Linked DNA regions of Stegostoma tigrinum. The protein of the gene in region 1 binds, or shares a complex with, the protein of each later gene. Links are inferred from orthologs where the notes say so. Each region holds a gene or a part of one and is shown on either strand. Other genes may lie near its edges. The genes, in order: zbtb8os and rtraf.

Region 1 (12,881 bases):
GTCAGAATCATATGTCCTGCCGCTGGGCCCACCTCGATGATATTTTTGTGATGTCCTTCCACCACTACTTCATCAGTGACAGCACCAGACCAAACCCAATCATGAAGTCGCTCATCCTCAGGTTCCATCTTTCACCACTTGGCTTACCTCACCGTACATAATTGTTATGTAGCAGCTTCCGACTTTTTAAAAAACATTCACTGTTGAGATGTGGGCATTGCTGGCTTTCCCTAGTTGCCCTTGATGTGGTGATAGTGAGCTGCCTTCTTGAACTGCTACAGTCTGCCTGCTGTGGGTTGACCCACAATGTCCCTAGGGAGGGAATTCCAGGTTTTTGACGCAATGACAGTGAAGGAAGAGTGTTATATTTCCAAGTCAGGATGGTGAGTGGCTTGGAGGGGAACTTAAGGATGGTGGTGTTCCCAGGTATTTGCTGCCCTTGTTCTTCTAGATGGAAGTGGTCATTGAGGATCTTTGGTGAATTTCAGCAGTGCATCTTCTAGATAGTATACTCTGCTGCTCTGGAACATCAGTGGTGGAGGAAGCAGATGTTTGTGGTGTAGTGCCAATCAAATGAGCTGCTTTGTCCTGGATGGTGTTGAGCTTCGAGTGTTGTTGCAGCTGCACTTTATCCAGGCATGTGGGGAATATTCCAACATGACTTGTGCCTTCTAGATGGGGGACAGAGGGGAATCAAGAGGTGAGTTACTTGCCACAGTATTTCTAGCCTCTGACCTGCTCTTGCATTTCAATGCCAGGTCCTATATTTGCCCCGGAAAAATAAACAGCGGCCCACTCGCCGCCACCACGGGTGCATACTGACACAATCGAGTCCGTGCTGGGATTCCTCACCGGTAAGTAAAGGGATGTAACTAAGTAAAGAAAAACAACAAACACGAGAACACAAAGAAAGGTAGTCAGAGCAGATGAGCTCCTGCACAAGAGCCCTCCTCTGCTGCCATCTTGATGATGTGAGGAGGCAATTCCTGACCATTTTATGACTGTTCCTTATTGTCCTTCAGAAGGTGGTGATGAGCCACTTTCTTGAAGTGCTGTAGTCCATGTGATGGAAGAACATAACCATGCCGTTGGGGTCAGAGTTCCAGGATTTTAACCTAGTGACAATGAAAGAATGGTGATATATTCCAAGTCAGGGTGGTGCATGATGTGGAGAGGAACTTACTAATGGTGGTGTTCCCATATGCACTTTATCTTGTTCACCTAAATTGTAAAAGGTTGCAGGTTTGGAAGGTGCTGTCAAAAGGGACCATGGCAAGTTATAGCAATGAATATGGTAGCTGCTACATACACTGCCACTTTGCACAGATATTGGAAGCAGTAAGTGCCTAACGCAGTGGATGAAATGCAAATCAAGTCAGTTATTTTGTCCTGGTTGAGTTCAAGTTTAAACAAACGTTGTTGGAGCTGCACACATCCAGGCAAGTGGACAGCATTTCACCACACTCTTGATTTGTAACTTTTTGGTGATTGACTAGCATCAAAGAAACAGTAGGTGAGTTACTAGCTGCTGATTTCCCAGCTGCTGACTCACTTTTGTAAACATTGTTTCTTTAGCTGGTCTAGATAAGTTTCTGGCCAACAGGAATTCTCCAGGTATTGATGGTAGGGGATTCAGTGGTGGTTATGCCATTGATTGTGACTGGAAGGTATTTAGAAACTCTGTTGGAGATTTCAAATCAGTGTGCTTCATAATGTTGGTCCAGGATCTGACTGAGATTGACAGAGCAACCCCAAAAATGAAAAATGGAAAACCTCTAAAATACGCCTGTGCTAAAGGAAACCACATATGGTCTGAAGTTAAAACAACAGCACGTGGCAAAGCCAAGTTGCTTAGTCTTGTGCAAGGATAAATTAGATTCAAACAAATATTTTTCTTTATAGACTTAAAGGAAAACTGTTCTCAGGAGAACAGTAGATAGGGATTGCTTACAGCTCAAAGAAACAGAAGAAGGTCTGAAAAGCATTCAGTCAAATGGGGGATTGAAAGAGACTGAAGTAGTTAGCTGTAAAGCTCTCAAGATTCTTTCCAGCTACATCAGAACAGAAGGAGGACATAACACAAAAAATTATGCTGTTCAGGATATCCCAAAGCAAACCACACACTCTGAACTTTTCTTTATTGGTAAGCCTTGTTGTAATTCAATGGAGGCAAGAGTCAACTTGAGCATAACAAGAGAAACAAACAGCAACGAAATAACAAACTGGAGACAGCATGATGATGATTAAGGAATAAATATGACTCAAGATACTCAATGAAATAATTTGCTGCTGTTACAACTACGGTGAGTGGCTGAGTGAGAGTGGGGTAGAAGGAAAGAAAGAGAGGTAGAATTTGGAAAGACTTCCTAAGTGATCGCCGCAAGAACACAGAGGTATTGAGGTTTAAGTTCTATGCTGCTCCAATGTGGATGCTGGGCAGATATCTGATTATTTCAAAGCTGCATCATTTTTCTGTTAAACTACAGGCTTGTGCCACTTATCAAGGCTATCTTATATAAGGTATATACTGAGTAACTTCATTCAAAGATTAAGTGCTGTGTGGGGCTTGGATCAGATTGCTGAATTGGCTGTGAAAAGGCTATGGCTTCAGCATTTATATTTCTGAAGAGTGTTATCTGTAAAATGCAAAAGATTGGCTTTGTTTCTTAAAATTTGTATCAGATGTTGTGATAGGCAAGGTACTCAAAAAGATAGCCATACATACAGAAATTAACACACTCGCTATCCAGTGAAAGGTACCTGCTCCTTAAATTTAGGCCTTGGTAACACCTTGCCATCCCACTCCAACAAGAGCACATCTCCCTCGATTTCTTTTACAATATTTTCATAGTCTTGGCGTAAACGCTGGAAACTTTTTCTCACCAAATAACCTCTAACACAAGCCTAGAAAGGGGACAGAGTGGAGAAAATAAATGCATGTAACAGCAAGAATTATATGTCAAAGAGTTTTTTTCTAAAATAAACAAAAGCCCCAGCCACTGTACTGGTAGAAATATGTAAAGAACTTGTCACTTGCACTGAACATTGACCATTTACCAATAAGTTAAAGGAAAATGATTGCAAGACTTTTAAAATAACAGTCAGCTCTGTTGACTAATTTTTCACAACAGATGTGCTTAACAAAAATGTTGACAATTCAATAAATATTGACTTTTATGAAAAAATATTACTTTTTAAGCAAGTAGCTCCTATATCATAGAATTATAGAATCACTACAGTATGGAATCAGGCCATTCGGCCCAATAAGTCCACAATACCCCAACAGCAACCCACGCAGACCTATTCATCTACCCCTGTACTTTAGAAGTCTAATAACAGTGGCAAAAAAGCTATTCTTGAATCTGTGGGGAAAAATGTTTAACCTTTTGTATCTTTTGCCTGATGGAAGAGGTTGGAAGAGAAGTGTGGATGGAAGGTTGGCTTGTGTGATGGACTGGACTGTGTTCACAACACTGTTTCTCTCAGTCCTGGGCAGAACAGTGGCTGTACCAAGCTGTGATACATCCACTTAGAATGTTTACATGGTGTATCTGTAAAAGTTGGTAAGGGTCAAATGTATAGCACGGAAACAGATCCTATATCCTAAATTAATCTAGTCCCATTTGCCAGCATTTGGCCCAAATTCCTCTTAAACCCTTCCTATTCATATACACATCCAGGTATCATTTAAATGTTGTAATTGTACCACCCTCTACCCCTTCCTTTGGCAGTTCATTCCATACTCCTTAAGGACATACTGAATTTCCTTAGCCTCCTGAGGAAGAGGAAGGGTCATTGTGCATTCTTGACTACGGTATCAACATGGGTGGTCTAGGACAAATTGTTAGCGATCATCACTCCTAGAAACTTGACACTCTCGAGCAACTCCACCTCAGCAACATTGGTGTAGGCAGGGACATGCCCTCCTCCTTGCTTTTGAAATCGACGATCAGATCTTTAGCTTTGCTGATGTCGATGGACAGATTATCTTTACACCATGCCACCAAGCACTCTATCTCTCTCCTGTATTCTATCTTGTCATTGCTTGATATTTGGCCTACAGCAGTAGTGTGGTCAGCGAACTTATAGATGGAGTTCAGACAAAATTTGGCCCCAAGGTCATGTGTACAGGAAGTACAGTAAGGGGCTGAGTACGCAGCCTTGAGGGGACCAGCGTTGAGGATTGTCTTAAAGGAGGTGCTGTTGCCTATCCACGCTGACATCCTCTGTGGGTCAGGAAGTCAAGGATCCAGTTGCAGAGGGCAGGGCAGAGACCTAGGTCTCAGCGTTTGGAGATTAGGTTCAAATTATAGTGTTGAAGGCAGAGCTGTAGTCAATAGGTAGAAGCCTGACATAGGTATCCTTAGCAATGCTTGGTCAAATTCTGTCTTTATGTCAAGGGTTGTCAATCTCACCTCAGCTTTGTACTTCAGCTCTTTTGTCCTTGTTTGAACGATGGTTTTAATGAGATCTGCAGCTGAATAGCCCGGACAGACTCCAAACTGAAACAGTGAACAGATTTTGTTGAGTAAATGTCTTTGATAGCATTGTTGAGAACACCTACCTTCGCTCACTATTGATCAAGAGTAGACTGTAAGTGGCTGTGTTTAATTTGACTTGCTTTTTGGGCACATGCAATCTTCCACACTGTCAGGTTGATGCCAATACTGTACTGGAACAACGTGGCTAAGAGCACAGGTCTTCAGCTGGAATACTGTCAGGGCTCATAGTTTTGGCAATATCTAGTCTCTTCAGTCACTACTTTATATCATATAATGATCATCTTTAATAGCAGAGCAGATTCAAAGGGCCATACGGACAAATGTGTTTATGAACATTAAAACAGACTTAATTGTGCATTGTTCATTATTTCATTGGCAACCACAACATCTAATGTACATCCTTTACTGCTCTAGAACTTGATTGACCATTTCAGATGACAGTTAAGAATTAACCATACTGCTGTGGGTCTGGAGTCACGTGTAGGCCAGACAGATAAGGCTGGCAGATTTTCATCACTGAGATTTTTTTGTTTTAAAATGTCAACGAATGCTCATTTCAACATCTCCTAGGTTTCAATTTCAGAATTGTTAACTAAATTTATATTCCACCAACTGTCATGACAAAATTTGAATCTATAACCCTGGGAATTAGCTCAGACCTGAGTTACCAATTCAGTGATATTATCTCTACAGTCTCCAGGAAAAGACAGCATTTACTTCATAGAACAGTACTGCACACAAACACAGCCTTTGATCCATCACATCTGTGCCATCCATGACACCATTCTAAACTAATCCCAACTTCAGTTCCCATTCTACACAAAGCTCTATGCCTTTTTAAACCTGTGCCCATGGCACTGGAACCCAGTGAAAACAACTGGCCTGATGGAGTTCCCAGTTGTGCACGCAAATCCTGTGCAGACTAGCTGGTGGGAGTATTTGCTGACATTTTTAACCTCTCCTTTGTATGATCTGTGGTTCCCATCTGCTTCAAGAAGACCACTATCATCCAGACACCAAAGAAAAATCAAGCAGCATGTCTTAATGACTACCAACTGGTGGCTTTGATAGCCATCATTATGAATTGCTTCAAGGGGTGAGAAATGGCACACATAACTCCAGCCTCCCAGATTACTTTGATATACTACAGTTCACTTACTGCTGCAACAGTCCACAGCATCTCCCATCTCCCTTGACCCTACACTGGAACATCTGGATAACAAGGACACCTAAGTCATACCCCAACTCCACTTTCAACATCATATTTCTAGCCAAGTTCATCTTCAAACTCTGAGACTCTTAGGACTCTGTACCTCCCTCTGCAAAAGGATCCTCAACTCTCTGATTCACTGACTATAATCAATAAGGGCAGACGACAACACCTCCTTCACAATAATCCTCAACATTGGTGCCCTGCAAGGCTGTGTAATCAGAGCCTTACTATTCTCCTTATACACTCAAGGCTGCGCAGCCAAATTCTGCTTGAAATCTATTAACAAGTTTGCTAATGACGCTATCATAGTGAGTCAGATCTTAAACAAGAAAGAGAGAGCTTAGTGGCATGGTGTAAACACAACAATCTATCCCTCAATGTCAGCAAAATTAAGGAGCTGGTCATTGACTTCAAGATGCAAAGTGGAGTATACAACCCTGTCTGTATCAGTAGTGCTGAGGTGAGGATGGTCAAGAGCTTCAACTTCCAAGGAGTGAATATAACCATCAATCTGTCCTGGTCCATCCATGTCGATGCTACAGTCAAGAAAGCACATAAACACCCCTACTTCCTCAGAAGGCTAAAGAAATTTGCACGTCCATTGTAATTCTTACCAATTTTTATAGATGCACCAAAAGAATGCATCCTATCCAAATATATCACAGCATAGCATGGTAACTGCTCTAACCAAGACTACAAAAAAATTACAGAATTGTGAATGCAGCCCAGTTCATCAAGGAACTAGCCTGCTGTCCATTGACTCTGCCTGTACTTCCCACTGTCTCAGGAAGGTAGCCAACATAATCAAAAATCTATCCCACCCTGGTTATACTTTCTTCCACCCACTTCCGTCAAGCAGAAGATAGAAGTTTGAAAACATGTACCAAAAGATTCAAGAACGGCTTCTTTTTTCTTGCTTTTTGGCAGATTTTTACGTGGACATTTCATATATCAAAGTTGATATTTCTCTGCACCTTCTCTGTAGCATTCACTTCTGTTATCTCGATGTACTTATGTAAGATATGATTTGCCTGTATCGCATGCAAAACAATACTTTCACTGTCTCTCAATACATGTAACAATGATAAAATTAAATCAAATATTAAAAGATTAAGCAAGCAAAACTACTCCAACATTGAGTGAGTCAGATATATAGAGTTTTGTAGCATGGAAAAAGGCCCTTCAACTCATCTCGTCCAAGCCAGTCATCAAAACCTATCTACTCTAGTCCCATTTTTCAGTAGAATAGTAGAACAATAGAATAGAAGAATCCTTGCAGTGTGGAAGCAGGCCCTTTGGCCCAACAAGTCCACACCGAACCTCAGGGCATCCCACCTAGATCCATCCCCTTATAACCCACCAAATCTACACCTCCCTGAACACTACGGACAATTTAGCACGGCCAATCTACCTAACCTGCACATCTTTGGACTGTGGGAGGAAACTGGAGGAAACCCATGCAGATACGGGGAGAACGTGCAAACTCCACACAAACAGTTGCCCAAGGCTGGAATCAAACCCAGGTCCCTGGCGCTGTGAGGAGTACTTGGCCTGAGGCCTTATTTGTTACAGCACTTCAAGCAATCATTTAAATGCTTAAATTTTGTGATGACTCTTGTCTCTATCACCATTTTAAACAGTGAATTTCAATGATTCTATCCCTCTCATCTATGATTTTTCAAAAATCTTCCTAAGTGCCCCCAAATCACTTACCTCTTAATTTAAATCTATGCCCTCTGGTCATTGATCCCTCCACAAAGGGGAAATGTTTTGACCTATTTATTCTGTCTCTACGCCTCAAGATTTCATACATTTCAATCAGTTCCCACACTTCAACCTTCAATGCTCTGAGAATAACAGCCCCAGCCTGTTCAGCCCCCCTTCAGAGAAGAATGGCTCCAATCCAGGCAACTTCCTGGTGAACCTCCTCTACATCCTTTCCAGTAAGATCACATCCATTCTCTGTTCAAACATTGAACTGTGACAAGCCTAAAAGAGGGAGGGGGTTCACAAAATCCAGTCTTCGAAATGCACTGAGTTGTTACCATGGTAACCACCTGGCTTCAATGATAAAACAAGTTTTCAATATTCGACAATCGACAGCATTCAGACTTTCTGGCATTAAGAGTCCTCGTGTATCTCACTGAAGGGACAAATGACTCCACTGAAGCTGAAAGGTCACACGCTATACTCACCTGAAGAAGACACAAACCGTCGCTCTTCTCGCCCACCGCCATCTTGCTAAGGGCAGGAGGTGACCTCATCGTTGATGACGGACAGTCTGTTCAGCCAATCGGGTGCCGCTCAGTGAGTCCATCCGGGGATGCGAGGGATGGGACCCGGTCCTGTCGGCATGCGCAGAGGAGGCTCTCGGCGGGTCGATGGACGATCGGGAGTATTCCCTGACCGCGGCGCAGAAAGCGGTGAAGGAGAAATATCCGCCCGTCAGCAAGAAGTACGAATGTGAGTGCAGCTTCGTCTAGTGCCGCCTTTGTGGCGGAAGTACCGGGCCCCAGGTTCCAGCCGAGGACGTTCCCAGGCAGACTGTGGAGGGAGGAGGGATGGTGGCGAGAAGGAGCCTGGGCCTTGTGGGTGTAGAGGGTTGAGACGTAATCGGGTTGGGAGTGGAGTCTAGCTGGACTCTTCAAGTTAAGAATCAAGCCTAATCCCCGATCTAAAATTCTACACATTGACTGATTAATTCTCTTTCACAGACGCTGCCAGACCTGCTGAGTTTCTCAAACATTCTCTGTGTTTGGTTAAGAATCAAAAACAAATGTTGTCAGATGCTCGCAGCCGAGTTAAAAATGGGAAGGTGCAGTTAGGTCTGGACCTGGAAAAGTTAAGGGGTTTGTGATTTATTCTAGCTTCTCGATGCTGCCCAGCACCTGACCTGGAAAGCGCACATTTAATTGTTGAGTAGGTAAAAAGCAGAATGTGCTAATCGCCACCCAGAACATTCAGCCTCCCGTGTATCACCAGACAGTAAAGTATGATATCTTCACTAGAACACTGGGCAAAATCTCAACCAAGATAAATCGTAGTCACGGTGACCAATTAAGACAGCAGGAAGTGAGCAAATAATCCATAATTGTTTCCAGTGTTGTGGGGTAAATTAAACAAATACAGCTGCCGGTGTCATTGTTTTCTTTGATATAGTGGGTCATCTTAGTCGCGGTACATTGTAATCTCATGTATTATAAAATGACAAGGTTTATAAAAATGATTTTCAGCTTTTAATTTCTGTAACTTTGATTTTTTATTTGTTCTTAGACTTGGACCACACTGCAGATGTACAGTAAGTTCTTAAAACAACTACTTTTTATGGAAACAGTTAGCTATTAAAAACAATTTGGAATACACAGTTCTTTGATACTTGGGAAGTAACCTGTAATATCTGAATTTTATGATTCATGCCAGCTTTTATTGCAACTTTGGGATTCCACATTGACTCACTATGTGAATTTTGTTGTATCGTCTTTCTCATAACAAATATTTGAATGCTTTTGTTCCAGATCAACTGTTGGTTTTATTGAGCTTATTTTCTTAAAGTGTATATATAAGCTACCTTCTTCAAAGTGTTAAGCTTAATCATCACATCAACTTAAACTTTATTTAATTGAATTTAAAAAGAATTAAATTTTATCAATCATAGTAATGAAATTATGGGGCTAGGAATTCCAAAATTTATTGTAAGTTTAAACAAATTGTACATTCTGTATTCACTTTTTGCAGGAAAATAATTTTATAATTCTCCCAAAATATCAATGGCTGTCTGAAAACTTTGTCGGACTATGTTTACTTACAGGAAGATTATTGAAATGAGGAACACATTCAATCTAGTGTTGTGACTGAGATTTTAATCTTATGACATGTATATAAGATGTTCTGCATATTCTACTTGAATTGTGGAACACAAGATGCACCATAATTGCAATTTAACTTTGCAAACTGGAACGATCTGTAAAGGAAATGTTTTAAGAAACATCAATATTGGAGTATTTTCAGGCCTTGCAATTGTTGACACCGGTAGGAGAAATTAATATATATTACCAGTTATACACTTTTTTTCCCAAGTTAGTTCCTATTAATTGTAATTGGAAAATTTGCAGATATTGTGTATAATGTTTGAGTCGTCTTATTTGTATGCTATATCAACTGATATACAAACAGTAAATGTTAGAAATACACCTCTGTTCCACAAGCTCCTAAAAGATCAACCAGATCTCCAGTAGTGACTGTCCTTCAAAATTAATTTAAAAAGGCTTTGTTATTGTGCAGTCTTTTGTCATACCATTCTATGATCTGATTTCTGTCTGGCTGACCCTTTGGGATTTGTAGTTGAAAGTAATTGACAGCCACTAACTTCATAGTTTGTGATTAATATAACAGAGTTGGCAATCTGTGTGTTACATTTATGAAACAGTTAATTTCCAGTGCTGAAGTCCATGAAATTGCTACTTTTTACAGGTTACATTCATGGGGCGATACATTAGAAGAGGCATTTGAACAGGTTGTAATGGCTATGTTTGGATATATGACTGATATTGAAACGGTGCAGCCATTAACAACAATTGAAGTAGAGGCTGAAGGTAACTATGGTGACGTTCTGTGTACGTTTGTATGTATAATTTTTCAATAGACAAAACATTTCCGTGACACATTCCTCTTTAGGCTAGTATGCTCAAGTGTCAGGGCGGTTAGATCATTTCTTTGGTTCCAAATGGATTATTTTGCATGTTTCACATTTTTTTGAGATGAAGGTATGAGGATACAGGACATAATTTACTTGGTTTAAGTGTGAGCCTCAAGACATTTACTACCCATGAAGTTTGGAGAAGAGGATAAATGTGAAACACTGTATTAAACTTGGTACACTTGATCCTCTGTGCAATCAAATAAATTTTCGAAAAATAGAATAATTTTTGTTAGAAGAGAATTTTTTATCAAATATTAATTTAATAAGCACTATTCAATTAAGTGGAAAGGTGATCTGGAGTGTAATGGCCATTATGACTCTGTCAATCCACAAAATTAGAGGCAGTTCACACTTGCATATTGAGTCCTTGGTACCTGCTCAATTGCTTATCAGTACAGAAAGTAACAGTGGGGTACATTCATTAGAAAGGAAGTCAATGGGAATTGATGCCTGGTCTCCATTACCATTAATGGGTAGCAACAAGTTGCCTACCTGATGGCAAATTATAACAAAAATTTGTTTTAAAAATGTTAATACTAAAATAATTGGGTACTGTTCTAACAAATGGGCTAAGCTGATAGATAAGCTAATGTCATAAATTGAATCACTGCAAACTTTCTGATGCAAAAACTTAACGCAGTAAGCTGATATGATAAATAAATCTTTGTTTTATTTGTTTTGAGATCAGCAAAAGACTTTGCCATAATTTCAACAGTCTGCCATTCTCCATCTCCCTGCTCAGTTAGAATGTGGCAACCAGTTTGATGTGTACTCTAGAGATAACAAAGTGTGGAGTTGGATTAACGCTGCAGGCCAAACAGCATCTTAGGAGCACAAAAGATGATGTTTTGGGCCTAGACCCTGACGAAGAAGGGTCTAGGCCCGAAACGTCAGCTTTTGTGCTCCTAAAATGCTGCTTGGCCTGCTGTGTTCATACAACTCCACACTTTGTTAACTTGGATTCTCCAGCATCTGCAGTTCCCATTGTCTCTGATGTGTACTCTAACTGTGATTGAATTCCTGCCAGTGGGTTGGGCAAGCAGTGACGCAGTTGTTGATCCTATGTTGTGTTTACTTCAGAAATTTTAAAGTTCATTGAGGCGCTCCCTGCAGATATTGATTTTTGACCTATTCTTTAACAGTTAATTGTGCAGATAGTTGCGTGTGCTGACGTTTGGCTGAATGGGTCTTTCACTGCCCTGCCCTGTTCCAAATAGAGTCATTGGAATACTTTAGGTGTGGTTCCTTAGTTATACAGAAGAGAGGCATTCAGCTAATTGAAGGTGTGGAAGTTGAAATGTAGCCTTACTGCTTTGATAAGGAGATTCCAATTAAAATTTCTTGTCTTGAGGGTATTTTGCTAAAGATAATCAGTTACAAATATTTGCTGTAAAATCAGGACATGCTTAGTTCCTGGGACTGGATCGAGGCCTGTTTTCAGCAGGCTATACTTTCTGATCAGACATTTTTCTTCTATCTTCACGAGTAGCATCCCAGAAATGGCTGTATATCAGGAGTTGAAAAGGTGGGAGGAAGTCAAAATTACAATTACGAATGAAGTAATACTGAGTAAATTATTGGAACTATGACTTAACAAGGTCCCAAATCCTGAGAGTATTAAAAGAAGTAACCAGTGAAATATTAATACATTGGTTCTAATGTTCTACACCTCTGTAGATTCAGGGATAGTTTTGTTTAGAATGGAAAATAACTAATGTAACTCTTTTATTCAAAAAGGGTGGGAGTTGGAAAGCAGGATACTGCGTTCTTGTTAAGTTAATATCCGTCATAGGGAAAGTGTTCAAGTTATTTAAGATGTTATAATCGGGCACTTGTTCAAGGTAATCAGGTGGAGCCCTCATGGTTTTCTCAAAGAGAAATCGTATTTAATCAATCTGTATCAATCAACCTGTAACTTGTGGTGTAGGTGAAGAGCATATTGCTAACAGGAAATGAAAGTAGGAATTTGTGGATCTTTTTCAGACTGGCAGGCTGCCATGAATGGTGTGCCACAAGAATTGTTGCTAGGGCTTCAACTCCTTACAGTTATGTAAGCCGTTTGGATCAAGGAATCAAAGGTGTGCTGAAGACACAAAGGTCGAAAACTGAGCTGTTAGGAAGCCTACAAAGGGATATAGATAGTTTGAGCGGGCAAAGATTTGATAAATGAAGTGCAATGTGGGAAAGTGTGAAGTTATCCAGTTTGGCAGAAAGAATTTTTAAAAAAGCACTATTTGAATGATAAGAGTTTGCAGATCTGGGATGCAGAGAAACCTGGCTGTCCTAGTGTATGAATCATAGAAGGATGGAATGCAGATACAGCAAATATTCAGGAAAGCTAATACTATGGTTTGTTGTGAGGGGCACTGAATATAAAAGAGGTTATGCTTCAGTTAGACATCTCTCTGGTGAGACAGCATCTGGAGTACTGTATCTGGTACTAGTCACTGTACTCATGGACGTATGT
Region 2 (12,073 bases), on another chromosome or scaffold:
AGTTCTCTACAATTTTTGCAGAGAAAAAACACATTGGGACCTGTCATTCCTCAGAGCACTCCTGCATTGCAAAACAAAGGCATTTACTACTCATTCAAAAATCTATTTACATTCATTATGAGGCAACAATGGGGTCTGACAACTGAAGAGACCCTTGTTATATTTTGGCGAAAGATCTTAGATGGTGGTCTTTCCCCACGGTGCCTTCACCTGTGACCAAACTTTAGTGCTTCCCTCACCATGTATCCCTGGACCTTAGAATGTGACAGTCTGCAATACTCAGTGGAAGTCAACTCTTTACACTGGAAGACATACAAGTTGAATTATCTCATAAACACACAGATTCTATTGAAAGCTGAGTAAATTGCTTGGAAGGAAATCTCAATGTGAGCTTGACAAGAGGAGGATCTAGGTTTAACGGAGGCTGACCGCTTTGGATGACTTTATGGCTACAGGATAATAATTTATTTCAGCATTTTAATGTTAGATGTTCTTCAGGTATTTATTTAGTAAGTAGAATAATAAAGCAGCATTTTTTAATAAATTCAGAGATAATGGGAACTGCAGATGCTGGAGAATCCAAGATAATTAAGTGTGAAGCTGGATGAACACAGCAGGCCAAGCAGCATCTCAGGAACACAAAAGCTGACGTTTCGGGCGTAGACCCTTCATCAGAGAGGGGGATGGGATGAGGGCTCTGGAATAAATAGGGGGAGAGTGGGAGACGGACCGAAGATGGAGAGAAAAGAAGATAGGTGGAGAGGAGAGTATAGGTGGGGAGGTAGGGAGGGGATAGGTCAGTCCAGGGAAGACGGACAGGTCAAGGAGGTGGGATGAGGTTAGTAGGTAGGAAATGGAGGTGCGGCTTGGGGTGGGAGGAAGGGATGGGTGAGTGGAAGAACAGGTTAGGGAGGCAGAGACAGGCTGGGCTGGTTTTGGGATGCAGTGGGGGGAGGGGAAGAGCTGGGCTGGTTGTGTGGTGCAGTGGGGGGAGGGGACGAACTGGGCTGTTTTGGGATGCGGTGGGGGAAGGGGAGATTTTGAAGCTGGTGAAGTCCACATTGGGCTGCAGGGTTCCCAAGCGGAATATGAGTTGCTGCTCCTGCAACCTTCGGGTGGCATCATTGTGGCACTGCAGGAGGCTCATGATGGACATGTCATCTAAAGAATGGGAGGGGGAGTTGAAATGGTTCGCGACTGGGAGGTGCAGTTGTTTATTGCGAACCGAGCGGAGGTGTTCTGCAAAGCAGTCCCCAAGCCTCTGCTTGGTTTCACCAATGTAGAGGAAGCCATACCGGGTACAATGGATACAGTATACCACATTAGCAGATGTGCAGGTGAACCTCTGCTTAGTATGGAAAGTCATCTTGGGGCCTGGGATAGGGGTGAGGGAGGAGGTGTGGGGGCAAGTGTAGCACTTCCTGCAGTTGCAGGGGAAGGTGCCGGGTGTGGTGGGGTTGGAGGGCAGTGTGGAGTGAACAAGGGAGTCTTTTTTTATTAAATTATTTTCTTTCCTCAATCTGTTATATCTGTAATCATTTTTTTCCGAAATGATTCTAAGCTTGTGCCCATTTTAAATCAGAAAAATGGATACAAACACATTAACTCACTAAGCATAGCAATTTTTTGAGCGAGCCATTAATTTGTTCTCTTAAATTCACAGGTCAAAATGAACAATAAAACTGAGAGTGGCTTAAAGCCAAAATGCTTTCAGATCACTTAAATCTTTCCTTTCTCTCATTAAAAGAAAGTGTGGAAAACTTGGGAGTGAACTGGAACTGTGTTAAGGTCAAAAGGGTAACTAGGGAGAAAAACAGGGCCATTTACAGTTCAGCAAGGCCGCTTATGTGTGGAACCACAGGCGATGGGGGGGGGGCAAAATAAGTATTTTGCATCAATATTAAGGATATGGAAGCTAGAGGACTTGGGAAATAAATTGAAAAATGTCCATATTACAGAGGAGGAGGTGCTGGCTGTCTTAAAATGCATAAAGATGGATAAATCCCCTGGACCTGATCAGGTGTACTCTACAATTTTGTGGGAAGCTAGGTAAATGATTGCTGGGTCCCTTGCTGAGATATTTGTTCATTGATAGCCTTAGGCGAGGGACCAGAAGACTGGAGGCTGGCCAATATGATGCCACTATTTAAGATACGTGGTAAGGAAAAGCCAGGGAATTATAGACTGGTGATCCTGACAAGAGTGGCGGGCAAGTTGTTGTAAGAAATCCTGAGCGACAGGATTTACACGTATTTGGAAAGGCAAGGACTGAGTAGAGTCAGTCAGCATGGCTTTGTGAGTGGAAAATCATGTTTCACTAATTTAATTAAGTAATTTGAAGAAATAATGAAGAGGATTGATGAAGGCAGGGCCGTGGACCTGATCTATACGGACTTCAGTGAGGCGTTCGACAAGGTTCTGCATGGTAGACTGGTTAGCAAGGTTAGATCGCATAGAATATAGAAGTGCCAATTTTGATATGGAACTGGCCTGAAGATAGGAGACAGAGCGTGGTGGAATAGGGTTACTTTTCAGAATCGAGGCCTGTAACCTGCAGTGTCCCACACAGATCGGTGCTACAGAGGTTTATAAAATCATGAGTGGCATGAATAGGGTGAATACAGAAGTCCTTTCCCCATGGTAGCAAAGTCCAAAACTAGAGGGCATAGATTTAAGGTGAGTGAGGAAAGATATAAAAGGGATCTAAGGGCCAACTTTATCATGCAGTGGTGATGCGTATATGAAATGAGCTGCCAGAGGAAATGGTGGTGGCTAGTACAATTACAACATTTAAAAGGCAACTGGATGGGTATATGAATAGGAAGGGTTTAGAGGGATATGGGCCAAATACTGGCAAATGGGACTAGATCAATTTAGGCTATCTGGTCGGCTTGGATGAGTTGAACCAAACGGTCTATTTCCATGCTGTAGAGCTCTGAGACTTTATGACTCTATGGTCCTGCACTGGTCTCACAGGTGAGAGAAGCACAGGAGGAAGTGCTGGGAACATTAGCATGTCAATTTTTTTTAATCCATTGGAAATGGAGATGTCTCAGCACACAAGGTGATTGTAATTTCTTCTTTCTTTTCCTTGTCAACTGGCAAATGGTGAATTCAGTAATCAAATAGAGCCAATAGAAACAACGAAGGGTGTTGTATATAGTGGTAGTACTGGGGGCAATTGATGAAGTCCTGCAGGCGAGGCAATTTCCACTTTGTTACATTGTAGCAAAAGGAGAAAAAGGTTTTAAAGGAACGAAGAACAAAGAAAATTACAGCACAGGAACAGGCCCTTCGGCCCTCCAAGCCTGCACCAATCCAGATCCTCTATCTAAATCTGTCGCCTGTTTTCCAAGGATCAATATCCCTTTGCTCCCTGCCCATTCATGTATCTGTCTAGATACATCTTAAATGATGCTATCGTGCCTGCCTGTACCACCTCCGCTGGCAACAAGTTCTAGGCATCCACCACCCTCTGCGTACTTTCCATGTATATCTCCCTTAAACGTTTCCCCCCTCACCTTGAAATCGTGACCCGTAGTAATTGAGTCGCCCACACTGGGAAAAAGCTTCTTGCTATCCACCCTGTCTATACCTCTCATGATTTTGTAGCCCTCAACCAGGGCCCCCCTCAACCTCCATCTTTCTAAAGTAAATAATCCTAACCTACTCAACCCCTCTTCATAGCTAGCACCCTCCATTACAGGCAACATCCTGGTGAACCTCCTCTGCACCCTCTCCAAAGCTTCGACATCCTTTTGGTAATGTGGCGACCAGAACTGTACACAGTATTCCAAATTCAGTGAAGCAGTTGAAAACTCAGCCATTTGGTATAGTTCAATTAGGTGTCAGCAATGCGTAAGCTGGGGAAAAGGGGAAGCGAGTGAGCGAACATTCGATTGCAACATTAAGCATTAAGAAAGAGAATCACATCTTCTTTTCAACCGTCCAATTTACAACAAGAAATAACTCATCAGGCAGGAAAACTGAGCCTGGAACAAGGATTCTCTTTTCTCTCCATAAAGAAGTAAGACCGCCTCAGTTTAATAGTTAATAGTTCCTGCTGTGAACTTGAAAAAATATGGTGAAAAATCCAAAACCATGGCCTAAAATCAATGGTGAGTAAAAGTTCATTTTTAAACAGTAGAGAAAAAAGTAAGATACTTGACACAGAAGAGGCATTGGGGAGTGGTGTACAGTTGTTTATCAAAGTATCATTTTAAACGAATTGTAAATCAATATGGTGATATTGCGTTACTGAAATTAAACTATCAATCTATCCTAAATTTGTAAGAAAAAGTTGAGGTGAGGGCTAGCCTTTACAGAGACCCTAAATGTGGTAATAAAAAATAGTAAAGTATGGCAGATGCTGGATTTTTATAATACAAATGAAGTTTTGGAGAAACTCAGCAGGTTTAGCAGCATTTGTGGGGAGAGGAACACAGTTAAAATTTTGATTCCAAAATGACTACTACACCTTATTTTCCACCTGGGAACCTTGCAGCCCTCTGGGCTCAATATAGAGCTTCTAAGGTTTTGGAGTAGATTTGTAGCTTGTTTGTGGATGTTGTGGTTGGTTGGTTCACTGAGTTGGTTCGTTGTTCAGCAGACGTTTCATTACCCTGCTGGGTAACATCATCAATGCAGCCTCCATTGAAGTGCTGTTGTGTTCACGCCTATCTTTTTAAATTCTCGTGTCTGTTGAGCTGGATTACCTCACTTCCAGTTTCCCCACACAATGGAGTGTATATGGGGTCTCACTCAATGTGTTTATTGATGGCTTTCTTAGAGGAGAAACAGGCTTCTAGGAATTCCTTGTCTCTGCTTTGCTTGTCCCAGGATCCTGGTGTTGTCCCAATCAAACTGGTGGTTTTCCTTATCCACATGGATGGAGATGGATGAGTATTAGTTGTGTCTTTTTGTTGCCAGTTGATGCTCGTGTACCCTTGAGGTTAATTTCCTTCCTGTTTGTCCAATGTAATGTTTGCCTCAGTCTCTGCGGGGAATCTTGTTTACAGCACTGGTCCTGTCCATTGTGAGTAGTGGGTCTTTGGTCCGAGTGAGCAGTTGGGGTAGGGTTGATGTGGGTTTGTGTGCTACTCTGATCCCCAGTGGTCGTAGGAGTCTTGTGGTCAGTTCAGAGATGTTCCTGATGTAAGGTAGCGTGATGAGTGTTTCAGGATGCGTAGTATCTTCTTGGTGTTGTTCATGTAATAGGCATCATCTGGCCCAGTTTTTCGGGTATCCATTTGGCGTAGTCTGTGCTGCTGCAGTGTGTTGTTCCCGTTTAAATAATGTTCTCACGCAACTTTGCTTATGTGTATTAGGGTGGTTGCTGTTGAAATTTTGTACTTGGTCTCTGTGTGTGGCTTTCCTGTGTAGCTTTGTTAGGAATTTCCCATTGGTCCTGCATTCCACCACGATGTCCAGGAATGGGAGCTGTTTGTTCTTCTCCTCTTCTCTGGTGAATCTGATCCTGATGAGGCTGTTGTTTATTATTTTGTATGTCTCCTCTAGTTTGGTCTGTTTAATAATAACGAAGGTGTTGTCCACATAACGTATCCATAGTTTTAGCTGAATTAGTGGAAGGGCCATACTTACAAGTCTCTGCATCACCATTTCAGCTATTAGTCCGGGGATAGTTGATCCCATGGGTGTCCCATTGATCTGTTCATATATTTAGCCATTAAAATGTGGTGGGTGGTAAGGCATAGGTCCAGTAGCTTCAGCATGTTGTCTGTGGAGATGCTGTCATTTGGGTTTTGTTCTTGTTTTAGTAGTGTTGCCAGTGTTTCTTTTGTTAGTGGTATGTCTATCAATGTTAGAAGGGTAATAACATCAAATGATACCATGGTCTTGTCATCATCTATTCTTATGTCCTTGATGGAATTGAAGAACTCCTGGGTTGAGTGAATTGAGTGGGGTGACTTGCTGATGAGGTGTTTTAGTCTCCTTTGTAGTTCCTAGGCTAATTTATGCGATGGCGTGCCTGGCAGGGAGACTGTGGGTTTAAGAGGTACTTCCAGTTTGTGTACCTTCAGGAAGCCGTAGAATGGTTGGACGTTTGCTGCAGTCTCTGCAGGGAATCTTGTATTTGGCACTGGTCCTGTCCATAGTGGGTAGTGGGTCCCTGAACTCTCTCATGTCCTAGCCCCCTACGCCACACACTAGGCCTTGTTACCAGTCTGCCATAACACACTGTGCATCGTTAGCCACTAACAGTCTCCATCAAAAGATATTTATGTTCCTAGTCAGACGGTCATCAACTCCTTTGTCTGTCCAACTGCTCTTTTCTCTCTTTGGGCTCTATGTCCACGTATCACTCACTCCTTACCCACTCTATCTTCTGCATATACACTGACATTTTCCTAGCTGCCATCAGTTTTGGGAAGGGTCACTGGACCTGAAATGCTAACTGATTTCTCTTCACAGATGCTGCCAGATCTGCTGAACTTTTCCAGCAACTTCTGTTTTTGTTTCTGACCTACAGCATCTCTTTTGCCTTTTAATCACAAACCTGATTCTATTTTGAGCTTGGGTGGGTCTGGTCATTGGAGTCACTTCAATTGTTCCTTGTGATTGCGTTATCGATATTCTCACCCGAACGAAAAACAGAAATTGCTGGAGAAACTCAGGAGGTCTGGATGGCTGAATTTGTGCAGAACTTTTAAAGCTTCACTGGGGCAGAAACGTCAACTCTGTCTTTCTCTCTCCAGAAACACTGGCAGACCTGCGGAGTTTCTCCAGCAACTTCTGTTCTTGTTTCAGAGATTGTAAGAACTGCAGATGCTGGAGTCAGAGATAACACAGTATGGACCCAAAGAAGGGTCCTGGCCTGAAATGTCAGCTTTCCTGCTCGTCTGATGCTGCCTGGCCTGCTGTGTTCATTCAGCTCCACACTGTGTTAGACAGGTAGTAGGAACTGCAAATGCTGGAGAATCTGAGATAACAAGATGTGGAGCTGGATGAACACAGCAGGCCAAGCAGCATCAGAGGATCAGGAAAACTAACATTTAGGGCCGAGACCCTTCTTCACAAAATCACCTTCTGAAAATCCCACACTGTGTTATCTCCGTTCTTGTTTCAGATTTCCAGCATCAGCAGTTCTTTGTTTCATCACATCCTCACCTGTTCTTGAATTAAGAAGTTTTTTTTCATCCCCCGCTGGGGGTAGGGAGGTGTGAGGCCTGATTCGTGCCGTATACAGTACAAGCTCCTCGAGTGAGGTGGTCGCTTCAAAGATAAAGTTTCGTTGAAGCATCCACTCCACGGTTGCTCTGGGAGACCCGCGGGTGTGACGTCACACGGCGGCGAAGAGCGCGAGCGCTTTAGCCAGAGGGGTGTGGTGACGCAATCGCGTCGCGGCAGGAGGGTAGGCCTTAGTCGGTGACGCCGTTGTCGTTGCGGGCCGGTTTGCGGGAGTTGGTACTGTGTAACGTGGTGGAGGCGAAGATGTTCCGCAGGAAACTGTCGGCTCTTGAGTATCACAACAGCAGCGTGTTTGACTGTAAAGGTACAGGGAGAAGCGGGCAACCGTTCACTGGGGCCTGTGCGGGGCAATCCGCGCCCGTCGGCGGGCAGCACCCACCCCTCAACACCTTAGTTAGGGCCTGCGGCTGGACACAGAGCCGGGCCCAGTAATTCCACGCTGCCTTTCAACATCATTTCAGAATTAAAAACAACTCACTGTTTGAACACGGTGCCGGAACAGTGGCCAAGATGCTGCCCAAAAATCGCTGAAGTGTAATTATTGTTACTCTTAATAGTGTGGTTAAATGGGGCAGCCATTTTGTGCATAGCAAGCTCCCACAGGCTACGGACAAATGAAAAATCTGATTTTGGTCGGTGAAGAGGAGAATCGAACAGGAGCTCTCTCCGTCTTTTCAGTTGCATCTCCGTGGATGCTGTTTGATCCGCTGTGATCTCCAGCATTTGTTGGTTTCACACTTCGTTACTCACGTATAGTAAACAATTTCAGAATACTTGAAAGGAATATGAATGATTGATTAATTGTTTCTGCAATAAAATTCAACTTCACAACAAAATTCTGCAAACACTTAAGACACCAAGATTTTCTCTTGTGTTATTTGAAGGAGGAGTGTGGAGCAGAGAATTACCTTGCTGTCTTTTGTATGAGGCCATGTGAACTTTTGTCTGTGCTTGAACCAGTGCAGAAACCCTCAGTTTAAATTGTTCTTTTGAACGATGACACATTTTGGAATTATGTATTTGTTTCCTTACCATATAACTAACAATGTTGAGGAAAATACTTAATTACAAGGCCTCTTTTTTAAAAAACATCAGATTCTTTCATTCAGTTTTATTTTTCTATTTTGGGCATAGAATCAAATTGTAATTCTCCAAAAACAGCTTGACTATGCTCAGCATTTCTATTTTGTTTCAATCTTTTTGAAACTGGTAAATTAAACTAAGCAAATTAGCAGTTTACTTTTTCACTGAGGCATGGAACAATGCATTAATCATAAAACTGAGCAGAAGTTGACTGATAAATATTGTTTTCTGAAGGAAGCTTGAACACAGGTTTACAATATTTAAAGTCAGACATATTGTAAAATCTGAATATAAGCCTTAAATCTAAATATACATTTTATAGAGAGTTACGGAAGTTTTGCCTGCTTTGCTGATGCTTCAACACTGGACTTAAATGTGCCAGTCCTTGATATTAAAATTAGTACATTGATGTGCAGATCTAAGTCTGGACATCAATCTCCTTTTGAGGTTGAGATGTTAGTGATAAGGTTTAATTTAGTATATTCATTTGGTTTGTAGAATGCAGTTTGTCATTTTTTAAAACAAATGTGTCTGAAATCGTTATTTTTTTATATTCTAGATGAGACGGAATTTAGAAATTTAATTGTGTGGCTTGAAGACCAGAAGATACGACATTATAAAATTGAAGAGAGAGGCAACCTGAGAAATGTACACAGCAATGAATGGCCAAAACACTTTGAAAAGGTGAGTTTCATTTTGAATAATGTGCTTTGTATGTGTTTAATCATATTTGCACATAATATATTCACATATCGTTTCACTAGTGACTTGTACTTCCAGTCCCTGAATATGAACTTGTTACAAACATTGTTGTGGAAACAACTGTGTACAGTGATGGAAATAGCTTGGGTGGGGAAAGAGAAGGATACAGATCGGTATGCATGGACAGTCAGAACAATATGGTTGATATTGAAATTGCTTTTTCCTTTTCTGTCATTTCATTCTTACCTGTTGACTGTATATCAAGGCCTGTTGTCAGTTCTGCAGCTAGTTGCCAGTGTTCAACATTTGACTTGTGTTTTGATAAGAATATCAACTAAATGATGTACTTGTGTACCTCTTTGTACAATAAGTATTATTTAATATGTTAAGATATATTGATGCATATTTCAGATTACAGTAGAAAGGGGAGCTATTCTGCTTTCTTACTATCTGCTGTATTCCCACTTCTTTTGCCCTTTTTCCTATGAGGTTTAAATACCTTTCTCTGTATTAAACGTTAAACCCTCTGCCTCAAATATCACTTTGCCAAGATTCCCTATTGTAAGACTGTATTGGGGGGAAAAAAAATCTTATTTCTTCTATAATGTAATGGGTAGAGTAATTGGGTGAATAACTCTGAATCTTGAAGGGGACAGATGTCATTTATATCTCCCAATATTCTTAGCAACAAAGTGTAACTCTACCTAATTTCTATCATGCAATAAATTAGCTTGATTAAAAGCTGTAGCTTCTTGTTAACTCTCACTGGCAGTTGTTCCTCTACCAGTGTAAATTAAGTGAGCCCTTGGACCCAGACAAATAAAAGGAATGATGACAGCGTTCTTCTACCCATAAATGCCACATCTCCCTTTTTTTAAACAAGCCGATATCTATATCTCTTTTTACTTGAAGCCAAGAAAAGGAATTTTTATACATTTCAACTTTTGCAGAATCTTCAAAATCAATATCTGATTCCCTTAACCCAAATTTTCTGGCTATTCAAAATTTTCTGAGACTTTGTTCTATTCTCTCGTGCATTGGTGCAAAATTAGGGCCTTCCCTCAAGCTAGAAAATCTTCTGTTCAAAACCCATTCCGTGAACCTGCAATGCACAATCGAGACAGACTCTTCAGTGCACTGCTGAGAGGCCGATGCATTTTTTTGGCTGAGGTGTAAATCCAAGACATTGTCTGCCGTCTTAGGTTGATATCAAAGATTCTGTGGTCCTATTGAAAGGAAGGTGGACACTTTTAGTGCCCTGGTAAATTTTCATTGCTCATCCAAAACCACAAAAACTAATTATCTTATTTAGCTGATTCCTGCCTGAGAGTCCTTGATCTAACAGTTGCCTGCCACATATTCTTATACTACAGTAATCATTAACTTCAGAAGTACTTAATTGGCATAATGCAATTTAGATATTCTGATCTCATGCAAGTTTTTTTCTGTCCTGACATAATTATAGTTGAATGCCAATTACTTTTGAGTCCCAAACAAAAACAGAAGTTGGTGGAAAAGCCCTGCTGGTCTGGCAGCATCTGTGAAGGGAAATCAGTGCTATGTCTGTGGTCAGCAAGGTTTTGAAAAGAATTCTGCGGGTTAGGACTTATGACTGTTTGGAAAAGCATAGCGTGATAAAAGGGAGTCAGCATAGCTTTGTGAGGGGCAGGTCATGCCTCACAAATCTTATTGAGTTCTTTGAGTAGGTCATGAGACAGGTTGACGAGGGTCGAGCAGTGGATGTGGTGCACGTGGACTTCAGCAAGGCATTTGATAAGGCTCCCCACGGCAGGCTCATTCATAAAGGCTTTCATTAACAGAGGGATCGAGTTTTTAAGAGCCGTGAGGTTATGCTGCAGCTGTACAAAACCCTGATGAGACCACACTTGGAATATTGTGTCCAGTTCTGGTCACCCTATTATAGGAAAGATGTGGAGGCTTTGGAGAGGGTGCAAAGGAGGTTTACCAGGATGCTGCCTGGACTGGAGGGCTTGTGTTACGAGGAGAGGTTGAAAGAGCTCGGACTTTTCTCTCTGGAGAGAAGGAGGAAGAGAGGTGACCTGATCGAGGTGTACAAGGTAATAAGAGGCATGGATAGAGTCGATAGCCAGAGACTTTTCCCCAGAGCAGGATTGACTGCCACGAGGGGTCATAGTTTTAAAGTGTTAGGAGGAAGGTATAGAGGAGACGGCAGAGGGAGTTTCTTCACCCAGAGAGTTGTGAGCGCATGGAATAGTTTGCCAGTGGTAGTCGTGGAAGCAGAGTCATTAGTGACATTTAAGCGACTGCTGGACATGCACATGGACAGCAGTGAATTGAGGGGAATGTAGGTTATTTTATTTTAGTTTTGGATTAGGATTAATCCACGGCCCAACATGGTGGGCCGAAGGGCCTGTACTGTGCTGTACTTTTCTATGTTCTGTGTTAATGTTTCAGGTCCGGTGACCCTTCCTCAGAACTTTTGAGTCCCCATGAGTCTATGAGAAATACATGAAAATAATTAAATTTTCTGTCCTGTCCTGTAGAATTGCCCCCATTTCTATCACTGATTTGTTATTTGTTTTCATGAGTTTAAAAATAAATCATAGTCAGTGTCTTATTGCAAAGAGGCTCAGCGAAAGTGCTGCAACTTTAGAATTCTGTTTGACTGTGAAATGAGATGTTGGCCTGCTGCAGCACAAATACAGCCTTATTCCAACTATGTCACCACTCACTATCTCGGCTCTTCCGTCCCTTTATTTCCTGTATATTTGACTATTCCAGTGTTCTTCAGCTTCCCATCTTCTAGCCTTTAGAAATTTGAACTCGTCCAAAACTCTGCTTATACCTTAATTTGCACCATGTCCGGTTGACCTATTCTCACTGTACATGCTGACCTACATTGCCTTCAAATCTGGCAATATTTTGATTTGAACATTTTCATCTTTGGTTACTCTCTCCGTGACCTCACCCTTCGCCATCTCTGGGACTATTACCGTGTTAATTTTTTTCAATTCTGTCAAGTTGCATATTCTTTGTTTTAATAGTGAATTATTATAGTTTCAGTGACTTGTCACCAACTCTGAAATTTCTTCTCTAA

What was found.
Region 2: zbtb8os (region 1) and rtraf share a complex: the UniProt entries of both Homo sapiens proteins name them as parts of the tRNA-splicing ligase complex. The link is inferred for Stegostoma tigrinum from reciprocal best matches to the Homo sapiens genes ZBTB8OS and RTRAF.

Annotation. Positions count from the first base shown.
Region 1 is NC_081377.1:45,046,141-45,059,021, reverse strand, and holds the start of zbtb8os (protein archease), read left to right. Parts: upstream 1-8,048; 5' UTR 8,049-8,096; coding exon 8,097-8,178; intron 8,179-8,988; coding exon 8,989-9,013; intron 9,014-10,185; coding exon 10,186-10,307; intron 10,308-12,881. Other genes in the region: iqcc (IQ domain-containing protein C), read right to left, coding at 2,761-2,904, 4,416-4,502, 7,911-7,979. UniProt on the Homo sapiens protein: Component of the tRNA-splicing ligase complex required to facilitate the enzymatic turnover of catalytic subunit RTCB. Together with DDX1, acts by facilitating the guanylylation of RTCB, a key intermediate step in tRNA ligation.
Region 2 is NC_081363.1:45,470,846-45,482,918, forward strand, and holds the start of rtraf (RNA transcription, translation and transport factor protein), read left to right. Parts: upstream 1-7,345; 5' UTR 7,346-7,452; coding exon 7,453-7,513; intron 7,514-8,851; coding exon 8,852-8,976; intron 8,977-12,073. UniProt on the Homo sapiens protein: RNA-binding protein involved in modulation of mRNA transcription by Polymerase II. Component of the tRNA-splicing ligase complex and is required for tRNA ligation.